Linked DNA regions of Rhinolophus ferrumequinum. The protein of the gene in region 1 purifies or fractionates together with the protein of each later gene. This does not show direct contact. Links are inferred from orthologs where the notes say so. Each region holds a gene or a part of one and is shown on either strand. Other genes may lie near its edges.

The links.
Region 2: the proteins of ATMIN (region 1) and UBR5 purify together in Homo sapiens (affinity purification with western blotting; 3 studies listed by BioGRID). This does not show direct contact. The link is inferred for Rhinolophus ferrumequinum from reciprocal best matches to the Homo sapiens genes ATMIN and UBR5.

Annotation. Positions count from the first base shown.
Region 1 is NC_046298.1:27,187,917-27,196,287, reverse strand, and holds the start of ATMIN (ATM interactor), read right to left. Parts: upstream 3,497-8,371; 5' UTR 3,470-3,496; coding exon 3,143-3,469; intron 1-3,142. Other genes in the region: CENPN (centromere protein N), read right to left, coding at 7,308-7,390, 7,635-7,761. UniProt on the Homo sapiens protein: Transcription factor. Plays a crucial role in cell survival and RAD51 foci formation in response to methylating DNA damage. Involved in regulating the activity of ATM in the absence of DNA damage. May play a role in stabilizing ATM.
Region 2 is NC_046297.1:43,905,632-43,913,487, forward strand, and holds the start of UBR5 (E3 ubiquitin-protein ligase UBR5), read right to left. Parts: upstream 3,039-7,856; 5' UTR 2,978-3,038; coding exon 2,916-2,977; intron 1-2,915. UniProt on the Homo sapiens protein: E3 ubiquitin-protein ligase involved in different protein quality control pathways in the cytoplasm and nucleus. Mainly acts as a ubiquitin chain elongator that extends pre-ubiquitinated substrates.

The DNA.
Region 1 (8,371 bases):
TTATTGTAAATTTAAAATTAGAAGTCTTTGTACAAAATGGTCTATAAAGCAAGTTGGAACCGTTTCTTCTCTTTGCTTTTAGAAAACATTCCTGGCAAATCATTAAAAGCAAACCCTTGGACTGAACATAAACAAAATCCTCTACGTCATGTTTTAAAAATACATGTGCTCCTGGATAAGAAGGTTTTTAAGGGCCCTCCTGTCCCTTTCACTGCTTTCAAACACGAGGAATAAAAGAATCTCTTAACAATCAAGAAATGCCCATTTACTCCTACCCTTCCTTTCTCTGAATCACCAGCTTTCATTTCTCCACGGATCCCCCCCATAGGCAAGGCCGAACCAGAGTATGTTCTGATTTCCTTACAGGATATGGAATACAGACATGTATGCTAAGAACACACATAAAATCAAAAGGCAGCATGTACCCTCTACCATCCAGTCCCAGTCTTATCCCTCATCCTTCAGAAGGATTTATTAATCATTTACGTTAGGAAGGGAATATTCGGTTGGGGGCAAGGTATCCTGTGAAGAAAGATTAGAATAGAGTAAGAACCACACAGCAACTAATGGGAAAGGGAATAAAAAATGATCATAATCTAGAAAAAATAAAAACTAGGAAAGAAACTAGAATTATGCAAGTAGCTGTAACCAAGAGAATGAAAGGGAAAACGTCCATTGAATATTATACAAATGTGCTAAGCAGATATACTCAGACTAGCTTCAGAGCAGAAAGTAGGTGCACGCTTGACTGGTAGTGGAATCTCTGGTCCAAACACAGACTGCTTTCAAAATCACAGGGAGTCTGCAGTCAGCCCTTGTCCCCAGGCCTCCTCCTTCTCATACTTAGAGAATATCAAGTGTCGAGAGGTAATGTTTGAATTCAAGAGCCTTCTATTCAGGATCCAGACTGAGGGTATAGATTTGCCACACTGGGGCACCACTATTCGAATATGACTATTTTGTCACATAGGCTACTTTTGTTAAAGAAAAATGAACCCCCTTTCCACCAAGAGAGCAGATGCTCAAGGGCTGCTGAGCACCATGGCTAGAAAGGCAGAGAAAGGCAGGAAGATGAGCCGGTGTGACAAGAAAAACACAATGATGGTTCTGGTGGAGTTTTTAAAACTCTTGCTGAAACAGGTCTCCCTAGGTCACTCAGACGAGTCCATCTTTTCGTTGTTCAACATTTCAGTTCAGAAGGGATCTTAAGTATACTATGCTGTCTTCAGACAAGTGATTTCTGAAAAACGAATCTGACTAGAACTGGAAGAATGACTTCCCACAGATAAGCAACGGGAGGATACTTATACTCTGAAGTGCGCAAGTCCAAGTAAAGATTTGACTGCCAAAGTTGGTACTTGCCTCAAACATATTCCTCCTTTTTAGACTTATTATATGTATTGGTATCTTCAGAATTCCTGAACTTTACATATTTTGCAAACATACTTAGAAATAAACCTATTGCATACCTACTACCAAGCTAATCCGGAAGAGTAAGTGCTATCTTTATGCTTAACAGAGCTTCAAAGAGTCTTGAGAGATGCAGAGCTCCCAGCAGCAATTCCAGAGAAACGAACAATATAACCGTTGAAAAGTGCTGCTAGAGTGATGCTCAGGCCACCGCCAGGTGGGTCCTGGTCAGACTGGCAGCTTCATTTGTGCTCAGAGCTGCAGTGTCTGCCTTAGTTGTCTGTCCATCAGGGAGGGGATGACACTGAAGGTGGGTGATGGCTGTTGTACATGAGCTAAAGAGAACCAAGGGATTTGGCTGTAGAGTTCCTACAAATATAAACTCATCCACTCGAATTAAAATATGGTTAAGGAAGGATTTAGTTACAATTTAGTATGAGAGAGAAAATAGGAGACTGAAGACCATGTCCTGAGTTACTGCACTTGTGTCCTAGAAGACACCCAAAGCAATTCTGAGGAAAACTGCCGCCCCACCTGCTGGGTCTTCCTCAGTATACCTCCATGTACATTTCCTGTTTGGGGTCCCGAATCTTCCTACGAGAATGTTGTTGCATCTCTGCTCAGTTGGTGCTAAAATAGTTTACCCTTCCTGGCACACATTTCCCCTACTAGAGACTATAACCTCAACCTTTCTGCTGTTAAATTCTAATCAGAAGCTTGATTCTAAGGAAGCTTCCAAGGAGGATTTACCTGCGCACAGACAGAACGTGCACTACATGAAGTAATTTAAACTTTCTCCTGAATCAATTCAGACCATCAAAAGGCTACACATTCACAAAACTTCTTTCAGTGACTTAGGGTTTCAAATTATGTCACTGTTGGCAAAGAAAGGCTCTCAGTGGTGAAAGGGAACTTTCTATTGTTATGACTGAGAAATTATGATTTAATAGGTCTGGGCAGAGCTGAACATCTGGAATTTTAATAAGATGTCCACAGGCGTGCACTAAAGGTTGAAAATCACCTCTCTGTTTTACACAAGATGGAAGGGATGCTCAGACTACTACGTTCATATTGTACCGTGTTCGCGCTTAAAGATGATCCAAGGGGGGCAGTTTGCCTTTAGGTCTCATTCCTGAGCAAAGCTGATTTTATCGACACTGAAACTTGTATCCACACAGACGCTGACAGCGCCCAGCCAGATCTGCAGCTACCTTTTAACAACGCGGCAGGACCTCAACGCCTGAAGGAGCTATTGTGGGCGTGGTGGAAAGAACAGGGCTTTAGAACCAGAGACCAGGTTTAAATCCCAGCACGACTCAGGTTGCGTAATCTGTTTCTCATCAACAGAGTGAGGACCATACGATACGTACCTCACGAAGTCGCTGTGAGAACTAACCAGATAAATGTATAAAACGCCCGGGTCGTGACGTAAGGCGGGTAGTCCTGGGGTGTCCCAGCCTGACAGCCGAGTGGCATGACACAGTGTTTTCCTATTATTACGCGTTCCCGCTTCCTAGCTCCCACTTTCCCCGGCTGGGACTAACCATTCGGTTTGGCCCGTTTTATGTACTTGGAAGCCCCCTGCGATGCTGGCCGACGGAGGCTGGACTCACACAGCGTATTCCCGACCTCGGGCCGCGCCGCCCTGAAAGCCGGACCTGCTCCCTCGCCCGCGACCAAGGCTCTTTGTCAGCGCCAGGCCTGGGGAGGAGCCGTCCGGCGGCGGGCTCACCTGCAGGCGGTGGCTCTTGACCAGGTGCATGTTGAGCGCGGGGCTGTTGGGCAGGATCTTGCCGCAGCCACGCACAGTGCACAAAATGTTGGTCCGCACAGCCCGGGACAGCTCGCTCACCGACGGCTGGATCAGCTCCCGGGCCGGCGGCGCCGGACCCGCGGGCTGCTGCCTTGCCGCCGAGTGCCGCGGCCGGCTGCCCCTCAGCCGTCCTGGGGGTCCCCAAAGGTCCGAGGCGGCGGCGGCTCCCCTCGCGGCCGCTGGGACGGCCGGGGCATCCGAGGCCAGAGCCGCGGGACCCGCCGCCGCCGCCTCAAAGGCCGCCATGGCTCCCGCACAGCAGCCGGGCCCAGCTCGCAGGGCCCGCCTCACGCCGCTGCAACTTCCGGCACGGGGCGGGGCCGCGGGCTCATTAGCATCCGGCCGAGCCTCGACAGCCGCGGCGCCCCCTGCCGGCAGTGGACGCGTCTGCGGGGAGCCGTCGCCAGGTGAGGCGGGCAGGTTGCAAAACTTCACAGGGATTCATATGAACAAGGAGAAGGTACTGGTTCCGCTGATCCATTCTTTGCCTTCCTAGAAACTTGACCTGGCGCAATAATTGGATTGAAAAAGTAATGCGTTCAGGAACTTTACTTCCCAAAGATTAGAGATAGACCAAATGTTCAATGGCATTTGGCTATCGTTTATTTAGGGTTTACCACGTGTCAGACACTGGGGAATGCACTTTTCCTTTAGTATCTCATTTTGTCCTCAAAACAGCCATAGCGGGTATGTACTATAAGTTTTCCCCATCTTTGCCGAGAAGTAACCAAGTACGTCACGTTGTACAAATGAAAGGATTGTTATAATTGACAGTTCATTTTAAGGGGGCTGGATTTACTTGCCTGTATTTTAACTGATGACATTCGATTACTATTTGGGAGACAGTGTAGCTCAGGGCAGGATTCTAAAACCTAAGTTCCTAGAGGGACTAGGAAGGTCATGTAAATGAACATAGTAGGCCAGATATAGACAAAAGGGAGGGGTGAGGGCTACAGCGAAATGGGAAATACATCCTTTGTTGAAAGGGGACAGCTGCTACTCATCTTTGGTATCACTAGAACTATTTTTCAAGATTTTTATGTGAAAACTTCCAACTTTTATATATTAGTAGCTGTATGAGGTTTCTATTGCTGCAATAACAAATTACTAGAAACTAGTAGCTTAAAACAACAGATTTGTTATTATATAACCAACTCAAAAAGAGTCTGAAGGCTTTGGCTAGAAATAAATGAAAGAATTATTCAAGGGTCTTGGAGTTTTGCACAGTGGGAACAGAGCTAGGCAAAAACTCAGAAGTGTTCCAAAGAAAGAAAAGTTTTTATTATAGAAAGGACAGTCTTGAGAATTATCAGTCCTGCATTCTTAGTCCTAGGATTGGTCCAGGACAGTTATCAGTCAGATGTCAGGCAGTCTGGATGCCAGGTGGTCCAAAGTATGGGCCCCAGGAGGTCTGGTCATGTCCCATGGTCTGGACAGTGGATGTCAGGTGGGTGTATATGTGAGTCCTTTAGGGGATAATCAGTGTCATCTGGAGGTCCAGATTTAAATCTAGGCATTGACACAGGACTGGAAAGTTCATAAAATTTTACATTCCCAGATTAGTTAGAACTAGAATGGAATCTTTCCTCATGCCTCCACCTTCATGTTAATAATTTTAGCAGCCTGGTTAAAATGACTCCATTTTATATATTCCCCATCTTCACTCTTTCTTCATTATCTTACAGTTCTGGAGGTCAGAAGTCTGAAATGACTCTACTATGTTAAGATCAAGGTGTTGGTAGGGCTCCACTTCTTCTGGAGGCTTTATGGAAAAATCTGTTTACTTCCCTTTTCCAGCTTCTCAGTCAGGAATGGTGAGTTGAGTCCTTGTCACATCACTGTGATTTCTTCAGTAGTCACATCTCCCTGTTCTCTTCTGCTTCCACTTTCTGATTACACTGGATCCATTGAGGAACTCTCCCCATCTGCAGAGTCCCTTTGCTTGTAAGGTAACATATTTACAGGGATTAGGATGTGGACATCTTTGAGCAGGGGTGTATTCTGCCCATCAGGAACTAATTCTGATTTATAAAGTACTGTGGACCAAACTCCCCGCCCCACATCTATGTGTGGGAAAGCATCCATGGCTATTCTTCCTTTCCGCATGCTGTCTAAGAGTGCAGACTCTGGAGTCTGACTGCCTGCAGTTAATGTGGGTCCACCCACTTACTAGCCTAAGCTTTGGTATTCACTTAAGTAGCATAAAACTAGTAATGCTGCCTGCCTTATAGAATTGTTATGAAAATAAGATAATGCACATTAAAATACTTAGCACAGTGCCTGCCACATAGTAAGTGCTCAGTAAATGTTAGCTGAATAGTTTTGAAGACCCTACCTAATGTAAAATTAGATTCCTAATTAGAAAAAAATTACAAAATCCCACTGGATTATTCTGAAGCAATTCCTTTACCTAATTTTACAGGAGGCAGTATATTCCTTTGGCCGTAGAGGTCCTTAGATCTACATTTACGACTCCATCTGTTCACAAGACTCCATTTGAATACAGTATGTGTCTCTGGACTATCAAGCACATAATAGATAAGAGCTCCACTGTACTACCATTTCCTTAAGCAGGAGCCTCTGTCTGGCAGAGCCTCAGGGTGCAGCCTCAAGTGATTCCACTAATACTTGAGGCTGGGTAATGATACCATTAGCATCTTCTTGTTCCGGCTCCAGTTGCACATCCCCACCCAGCACAAGGGAAGACTATAAGCCTGTGAGAACCAACCTAGGCACTTGCAGGGTCTCTGTTCAGACCTAACGCAGGCATTCAGGCACCGAGCAGAAGTGCCTGCCACGTGTGCGCACGTAGGGACAGATGCTCTAAACCATGACTATGACATACAAGGATATTAGCATCATTAAGTCCTGCAGACTCAGAGCCTCACTCTGAGATAACTCAAGTGTCTTTGCTATTGCTAATTAAATCTAAAACCATATTTTCCACATAAGATACGTACAGTTTGTAGAAAGTACCATTACATTATAAAGCATACTTTAACCCTTTTTTAAAAATTGTTTTAAATTTGTAATGTAAAATTGATTTGTACATTAAGGCTCTTTTTGATTTTCATCAAAGGTCACTGATGTGGTGGGTCCGGTGGCTCAGGCGGTTGGAGCTCCCTGATCCTAACTCCGAAGGCTGCCGGTTCGATTCCCACATGGGCCAGTGGGCTCTCAACCACAAGGTTGCCGGTTCAACTCCTCGAAGTCCCGCAAGGGATGGTGGGCTCCGCCCCCTGCAACTAAGTTTGAACACGGCACCTTGAGCTGAGCTGCCGCTGAGCTCCCGGATGGCTCAGTTGGTTGGAGTGCGTCCTCTCAACCACAAGGTTGCCGGAAAGGACAACAACTTGAAGCTGAACGGCACCCTCCACAACTAAGATTGAAAGGACAACAACTTGACTTGGAAAAAAGTCCTGGAAGTACACACTGTTCCCCAATAAAGTCCTGTTCCCCTTCCCCAATAAAATCTTAAAAAAAAAAAAAGTCACTGATGTACCATTTTCTAAATACCTTTATTCATAAATCAGTATAATATTGATCAGTTTGAATGCCATATATATGATAAAATAGATTATGAAAAGTATCATATTCACAACAAAACCATTATTTTATATAACTGAATGATCTGATATGCTACCTTCTGCTATAACTCAATGGACCCAACTCTACCCTATGAATGGATTGATTTTATGATTCTCCTAGAAAGTTTTGAGTTGGGTATAGTTTTTTGGTGCTTCTTTCTATGATCCAAGGCTTACGAGAAAATCTCTGAAAACGAACAATTGGAACCAGAACTCTCCAGGATCAAGGAGAGACAGGAGTGAGGAAAAAAGGACATCCTGTCACATCCTAAAGATCCACAGCTGCTGTGCTTTGCAGGATATGGGGAAGGGGGAGCACACAGTGTAAGAGGAAAGAATCATTCCCAACGATTATATTGAACATTTTTAAATTGTCAATATCAAGGGTTAATTTCTAAAATACAAGTTTTTAGACAGAAGCTATCCAGTAAGCCATTAACTGAAATAAGTATGCAACATAGTCAAGGAGAGGTGATGCTTGCAAAACCACATACATCTTATTTATCTTTAATTTTAAAATAATTCATTCCTTTGCTGGGTATGCAAGTGAGCAATGGAGAAAGCGGTGCATCTGCAATACCTGAAATTAAAAAAAAAAAATGAAAATAATCACAGGGGCAAAGATTTGAGTCACTTTAAAAATGGGCAAGATTAGAGTGTGGATCATGGACTCCACTAAGTGCAGAAGCAGAATATGCAAAACAGGGCATGATGGGACGGCAGGCTGGCTGTGAGAAAGCTCAGAGGTAATTAGTTAGCAAAGAGAGCACTGAATATAGCACGCGGTTAATTCTTCTAGTTTGTAAAATAAACTGACTACTTACCGGCTGGTGCTAAGGATTTCAGTGCTTCCAGAAGATGCGGGCTAGAGAACTTTACGAGGCACCGGAGGGGTTCTTCTCTTTCAGCCAAGATGCCCCCATTTAAGTCACTTTTGAATTTTGTTTCAAGCTGTCAACAAATGTATTTATAAATGAATATTAAATGTATCAGTTGCAATGGCAAAATATAACAAAATCGGATTACACGTTTCATTAATTCTTGTCATAAAGAAATATAGGGATTAATGAGGGTGGGAACCATTTAATTTGCTAGTTGCAAACGTAGAGGGCAACCAGCATATCAAACGACAGCACACACAAAATGCCAAGTGTGCATAGTGCCTGACCCACGAGACCTTGGATATCAGTTCCGTCCCCAGTGTCCTTTTTGGCATTCTTAAATGGAAAATTAGCACTACCTTTTGTAATCTGTAATTTCAATATGAAAATGTTGTATTTTTTGAATCACTACCATGATTCCTTTTTTACTCCTGATTATGGAAGTTATTAAAAAACATACAAAAGTAAGGAACAGAACTGGTGGCCAGTTTTTTTTCATTTATTACCCCACGTCCCATTCCCTACTGCCCACCCCTACTGGATTATTCTAAAGCACATCTAGGACACCATAGCATTCCATCAGTAAATATTTCAGTATGTACCTAAAAAAGACCTAAAAAAGGACTCTCTTTTATTCCCATAACATTACCACACATAAAACAAAATTAATAACAATTCCT
Region 2 (7,856 bases), on another chromosome or scaffold:
GTGAAAACACAAAGAAAAAAATCAGATACAACCTTTTCTTTAATGCTATGTGTATTTTAGATATTTGAGACATCACAAGATTACACTGAACAAGATATTTGATTTTTAACAGGATGTGGCTATTTAAGGAAAGAAAACATATTTGAAGAAAATACTGATGTTTTGAGTCCCCTAAGTTTTCTTTAACCGAGCAATTTATTTGCAGTACCACACTGCCTGTCCAATCTTACTTCTTTTTGTATAAAGAATAGTCTACCTATTTATACCTTTTTTCACGCAAAATTATTTCATTTGTGACTATCATAGGCACATTTCTCATAAAAATCAAGCTATAGGAGCACACGCTTTTTTATTACCAAAACTTACAAAATCTTGGTAGTTTTCATCTGAGGATGAAAATACTCTGGGCTTCTTATTCTAGTTAGTTAAAAGATTCCAGAAAATCAGTATCTTTTGGGAACAGATTTTTCTCAAGCAATGCACCAGTGGGTTGTTCCTATTATACTTTGCAACTAGGTATGCAATGACGCTTTACTTTTGAAGGGGAGACAGAACAGCTCCACCACAAGTCAAACTACTGCCCTTCAAACTACTGCACTTCAAAACTCGATACAGGACTGTCTCAAATGTTGCCTTCACAAATCTCAACAGACCAGTTTTACTGCTACTAGATGTAACTACAGGTCCCTAAAATTTTACTGACAGCACTTTTGTATTTTTTCAAAATATCTGTTCCCCCCTACCCCATGCACACGTTTTATGATCTGAATCAAATACACTTGTCTTTTATTTCATAAAATGAAAAGATGATCTAAATATTCTTAATGTTGTATACTGACACTATAGGAATAAAAAAACAAAGCTGAATGTTTATATTAAGAATGAAAAAAGAAAACATAGCTTTAAAAAAGATACATTATTTATAAATTTCTCAGATTAGCTAAAGCATAAGGAATATTCAAAATTGAATCAAAATACCCAACACCACTGCAGAATAGGTTTTGGCATGCAGTCATTGAATGAACTTGTCAGGATTCTTGGTATATATAAAGTAGGACTAATACAGAAAATATGCCCTATTTCTCTGCTCCCTGGTGCAATTTTCTAAGTTACAAAATAAGTTACAATACAGGCACTACCAACTTGGTTCTGTGAATGACACCAGAACTATCACCACCTCTAGCCTGATTCTAAAATTTACCCCCCAAAAAATCTTATGTTAAAAATCTTTAAAAAGATCTCTAGCACTAATGAAATAAAATCAGAGTAAGGATCCCTAATAAAATGTTAAAATAGATGACTTAAAATGTCTTTCAATATTTAAAGGAACATGTGGTAAGTCCAAGTGGTTAATATTTTCAGACAGTATTCCAAAAGTTTCACAAACATGTTAAATACAATATGGCTACAGCAAACATCAGAGAAATCCGAACCCAGGGCCAGAAACTAAATCGCCAGCTTTCAAATTAAAAAGCTGTCGGCCCCACCTGAGGCAGTTGGATACTTTGAGACCAAGGCCAATATCATAGCAGCAAGTTAGGCCTCTTCCTCCCTCTGGGAAGCGCATGACAAACAGGGCGTCATGCAACTTGTCACCCGGTCACTTAGCAAAAATTATATCTAACTTCAAAACTTGGGTCCAGGTGGCTTCTAATAATACTCAAAGGAAAGACAGCAGCGAAAGCATCGGGTAGAAGGAGTATTAAAATGCCCCACTTTCTGACCCTGAGAACATTTAGCCCATCATTAGATCCGAGTCCTAGATTCTAAGAGTTGCTTTAATGGAGGCCTCCCTCAACCTCCTCGGAGTCTGTTTTGCAACAGTGAAGGAACTTTTCCTGCTTTATCTCAGTTCCCTGAAAGCATGCGGCCCTGCAATTCAATATCCTAAACTGGCAGGGAACCGTGGAAGAGGAAGGGGAGGAATCCACGGCCAAAACAGCCGTCTTATGAAAGACAAAAAAAAAAAAAAAAGAAAGAAAGAAAGAAAAAAGAAAAATCATTCCTCCTCCGCCCATTGTAAACCCATCCCAGAAATTTACAGCATGTTAAGAAAAGCAGCATTGCGAACTGCAGACGTAAGTTTTCCTTTGACTCTACGCACGGTTTTCAGCTGTCAAATTACAACTCACGAAAACACTATCATTAGAATAAAAAAGGAAACAAACAAACAAAAAAGCTCGCACCAGAGGGACCGGGAGCTGGAGCTGCCAGCAGCGTTTAGGGAGAAGGAGAGCAAAGGGAATCCAACCCACTTCCCCACCCCCGCCTGAATTCATCCCCTCCCCGGGCAGGCAAACCTCACTGCAGGGGCTCATATTTAATAATAATAACAATAATCATGGCGCTTCCTCCCCCACCCCCCACCGCGATCTGCCGGGAATCAGCTTCTCCTCCCTGCTTCCCCCCCCCCCCCCCGCCCCGGATCTTCAAGCTTGGCAGGTCCAAACCACCCCACCGGACACAACTCCCAGGGGCCCCGGCGAGCGCAGCCTACCCCGGGGCCCCTCGCCCCGTTTCTCCTCTTCCCTCTCTTTTTACCTCCACCATCCCCCATCCGCATTGTCTGTCTCAATTCAACTTTGGCTAATATGGATTCCTCTGGCCTGGCCCGGGCGGTAATTACAGCCCGCCCCCCCGGGAGCGATCTCCCCCCCCCATCTCCGCCCAGTTCAACGCGGCTCCTACGGGGCAAGGGGGGTGCAGCGCGCTTTCCCATCTACACCGTGCTCCCCCCACGTCCCCGGGCCCCCGCGCCCAGAAGTTTGCCCCGGAAAGGGCCTAGTCTGGGGCAGTGAGGACCTCCCCACCGTCGGCAGGCGCGTAAACACTGGCGCCCGCCCCGGCGCGGCCCCGTGGGGGAGGGAAGGGGAGGGCGGGGAGGCGCCCCTCCCCCCGCCCGCCGGCCCTATTACCTGTCATTGAGCTGGTCCTCGGTGCCCGGCAGCGGGTGAACCACGAAATGGATGGACGTCATGGTGCTTCCTTCTCGTCCTCCTCCCGAGGACGGCCCCCTCCCGCTCTCGCCCGCCCCCCCAACCCACTTCCCCTCCCCAAAACCCACTGCCGCCGCCGCCTCCCAGTCCCCAAATGGAGGGAAGCAAATGCGCAGGGGCCGCCGCTGCCCCCCTGCCGGGCGTGTGTCCACCGCCCGGCAGTCTGCGGGGCGAGGAGGACGGATCAACACGCCACCCGCTCTCCTGGCGACAGCGCACAGGTCTGCGAGGCCGGCGGCCGGGACCTGGGGCGCGCCGCCGCCAGCGGCAGCGGGGCGTTGGGAGAGGGGCGACTGGGGAGGGAGGAGTGGGGCGGACTAAGGGGACGGTGTGGTCCCGGCGGCAGACGGGGTCCGGACTAGGGAGGTGGGGAGGGAGATGAGCCCGCACCGCGCGTCACTGGCGAGAAGCCGCCGCCGCCACCAGCACCGTCGCCGCCATCTTCACTTCTGCCCCAGTTTCTCCGTCTCGCAGGCTGCGCTCCCGAGCGGCGGGGGAGGGGCGAACGGAGGGAGGAGAAGGGAGGAGACCGGCGGGTGGGGGCACGGCTGCGAGGGGGCGGGGCTCCGGGAAACGGGCTGTAAGGCCCTTTGGATTGGGCCGCTCAACGTTGTCTGGCCACGGTGCTGTAAGGCGCGTGCGTATTGGTCCGTTCGGCCCCCGAGGGACAGCTCCCAGTGAGTGTTCCGGAGAGCACGTGTTAGGGAAGGAGGAGGCGGAGGGGCGCGTCCGCCCGCGCTGGTAGGGAGTCCGCCAGTAGCTTGAAAGTGTGTCCCGGGGGAGGTGGGAAGGAAGAGGGGCTCCTGCGTTGTCTCGGTTTGATTTCCCTGGGGCAGCCCTAATTATTTTGCGTACCCTGGGGTTTTTTTTTGTTTCTGGTCCTTCCTCCGCAGTTGTATTTAAAGTGGAAGTGTGAAATCAGTTAAGGGGCAAGAAATGAACACCCTTTTATTGGAGAAGGTAGTTATGTAAGAACCTCTCCACAAGGTCCTAATCTTAGAGCTGACTTTGCAGCAACTTCTTTTATCACCCTGTTCTCCCCAATTTCCCCAACACCACCATCGTCACGTAGCCAGACAAAGACAAAATGTGGAAATTTCCACAAATTTCCTGATTTAAATTATTCATTTTTTTTTTACGACTTTTAAATGAAAGATGATCTATCTACTCTGCAAAGGCGTTCTTCAACTTAAGATCAGTGGGATTAAAACGGCAAATTCTTGAATGGATCTAGCTGCTTTTTACTGTGGAGCCAGTTCATAGCTTTCTTCCCAAAGGCTTCTGTGTCGCCTTCAAAAAGCAGGTACCTCTTTCAAGGCAAAGAGTGAAAACATGAAGCCTCTTCTCCAGGCTGTGTGAATGTTCATTAAATCAGAGGTCCTGTGAACCGTTCTTAATGTTAAATAACACTTTTCTTCTGTTAATACATTACAATATACACACTTTTGCTTAGGAGCTTCTTTTGAACAAAATATGTGAAAATTTATAAATCAGGATAGAGTAGGTACCCTTTGAGATAGATAATGGAACACTTTTGTAGGTCACTTGTTCCAAAATCGGCCCAGATGAGTTTGGACTAAAAAGTGATTCAGCTCTACTACTTATTAGAAGTCTATGTGAGGCCATGGGAAAGCAGGGTAAACCAATGAACACTGCTAGTTTTAGACCCAGACAGACTTGGATTTGTGTCCTGTTTCTGCTACTATGTGACATTGATTAAACTGTTTAACCTATCATAGTGTCTTTTTCTAATTTGTATTCTAAATAATAGATCTACCTAAGGTTGTGGAGAACTCTAAGATAATGAATGTCAAGCTCCTAGGGCTCTTCATAACACTTAGGCTCTGCAAATGGAAGCTTTTATTTTTCAGGCTCTCATTATATACCACTTTATACATTTGTCTTTTAATACTCAAATCACACTATGGGGTAAATAATATTATCTTCATTATATAGATGCAGACACTGAGGCTCAAACATTTCAGGTAAGTGCTGAAGCTGAGACTTAAACCCAGGTCATCTAACTTTGATTGTGTTGCTCTTTCCACTATACCACAGCTGCCATCTAGTTAATAATTTAGAAGGAACAGACTATTCAAAGCCAATGGGAAAAATGTGATATGATAAATGCAATAAGAGTGCTATGGAAGTTAAAGGAGGAAGTGATTCCAGCCAAGAAAATTAAGAAAAGTCATTTAAGCTGAGCTTTCAAGAATATTCTGGGCAAATAGAATATACAACTTAAACCTAGTCATTTTACATTTGCCCCAGAAAAAACTCCACACCATACCCATATTTTGCTTCATGAGTCTTTCTTCCAAATCTGTCTTCATCTTTTCATCAGGCTTCCAACTTGATTTACCCACTCCCAGTTTCCTGGAACTGAGACTCTCTCTCCTAGTTGAAGGCCCCTCTCCGCACTCCTAGCAGCCCATTCAAACTGCCCACTTGATCTTTGACTGACAGCCATCTTGACATAGTGACCTTTTTGTTGTCCCAGGCTGGAATGTTAGGGAGAATTTTCCTCTCCCAGGGCCCCAACACTTTGGTGGGTCACGGTTTGAACAGGGGAAAACAAGAATAAAGGCATGGAGTTGTGCAAGCCCATTGCATGGATGGGGGAGGGGGAGATACAAATAGGGAATGGAGATAAGCAAGGTTCAAGAAGAAGCTCTTTGAAGACAAAGTGCAACACAAGCCTAGAAGGGGGGAGGGGCTTTTTTCTAATAATTTGGACTAATTCTCACTTGGAGGACAACTAGAAAAGTTAGCCAAAATATTTCTTTAAATCTGCTTAAAGGCACAGAGAGTTAACAAAATAATGATGAATTACCAAACTGGGATCCAAGGGATGAATAAGACCCAAGAAAGTGAGTCTTGTGTTTGGAGCCACTTTGTCCTCTGGGATGAATGCCAATTCCAGAAACACAGAGTGAGAAGCCAAGAGACTGAACAATTCTGACAAGCACTCAGGGTTAAAACAACAGGAATTGATGTCCAAGGTATCCCAATGCTGTGGTGAGTGCTAATGAACCCCTCTTACTTTGTGCTGAGCCCTGAAGGACCATACCCCTGAAATAGGCCATGTCTTAGATTTGATTTCCCCCAAAACAGAACTTAATACAAGGATTTGACTATAAATAGTTTATTTGGGAAGTGATTACAGGAAGCACTATATAGGAATGGAGAAATGAGACAGAGAATGGATGAAACCCAATAAAAGATGAACTGATGAATGTTCTACCACTGTGGGCAACTAGAATTCAATCCCACTGGGGACCATCTGAGGGAATGTGTGGGACACACCTCAGAATTACCCTACTGAGTGGAGGGCAAGCTGGAGTTATTTATCCATCAGCAGCATCCCTCAGTAGTTCAGGATTGCTCTTGGGTTAACTCCTTGACACTTCAAGTTTTCCCTACTATGGGCAAAGCACAGTGCTAAATAATAGGCTCAAGAATGAAAGAAAAACAAAGACATTTGGCAGGGGTCAGGGAGAAAAAGAGAGAGAAGAAAAAGAAAAGGGAAGAAAAATGTGAGAAATTTTTAGGACTCAACCCATACTAAAGGGTATTCTTCAAGCAAAAGGAAAATGATTCCCCACTGTAAGCCCAGAGAGGCATAAAGGAATGAAGAGGTGTGAAAGGGGAAAATATGTAGGTATATGAATGTTAACTGAATAAAACAACGGGGCTTAAAAAGCCACAACACTGACCCCACCAAATGCTGCCCAACATGCAGAGCACCAAAAACTCATTCATTGCTGGTGGAAACACAAAATGGTCCAGTCTCTTTAGAAGACATTTTGGTGGTTTCTTATGAAAGTAAACATACTCTTAACATATGATCCAGCAATCACAGTCTTTGGTATTTATCCAATGGATTTGAAAATTTGTGTACATACAAGAACCACACAGAAGTTTATAGCGGTTTTATTCATAATTGCTACAACTTGGAAGCAACCAAGATGTCCTTTAGTCAGTGAATGCATAAATAAACTGATTCATCCAGACGATGGAATATTATTCAGCACTAAGAAAAGTTGAGCAATCAAGCATGAAAAGATATGGAGGAACTTTAAAGGCATATTACTAAATGAGAGAAGCCAATCTGAAACATTATATAGTCTGTTTTCAACTATATGACATTCTGGAAAAGTCAAAACTATGGAGACAGTAAAAACTTCAGTGTTCGTCAGCGGTTAATGAAGAGAGAGGGATGACTAGGCAGAGCACAGAAGATTTTAAGGGCAGTAAAACTACTCTGTATGATATGATAATGGTGAATACATGTTGCTATACATTTGTCCAAACACATAGAATGTACAACACCAAGAGTGAAACCTAATGTAAACTATGGACTCTGGATGATAATGATGTTTCAATGAAGGTCCATCAGTTGTAGCAAGTGGACCACTCTGGTAGGGATGTTGATAATGGGCAAGGATATGAATGTGTGGGGCAGGAGTAGGTAGAAAATTTTTGTACCTTCTTCTCAATTTTTCTGTGAACCTAAAACTGCTCTAAAATATAAAGTTTATTTAAAAGAAAACATGTTAGCAAAATAAATTCAAAAGGATAGTAGATTCCTTTTGACATACAAGTTCAATGATTTGACATACGAAAATCAGCAAAAGTAATTCAACGTATAACAAAATAAAGGAGAAAAATAATTAAATCCCTTCAGTAGAGTAAGAAAAGGATGTTATAAAATTCTATAACCATTCATGAAGAAAATTTCTTAGCAAACTATGAATAGAAGACTTCTTTAATTTAAAAAGTATTTCTAAAAACCTTGCGGGGAAACATCTTTTGTTATGGCAAAATGTTAAAAGCTTTGCCCCTGTGATTGGAAACAAG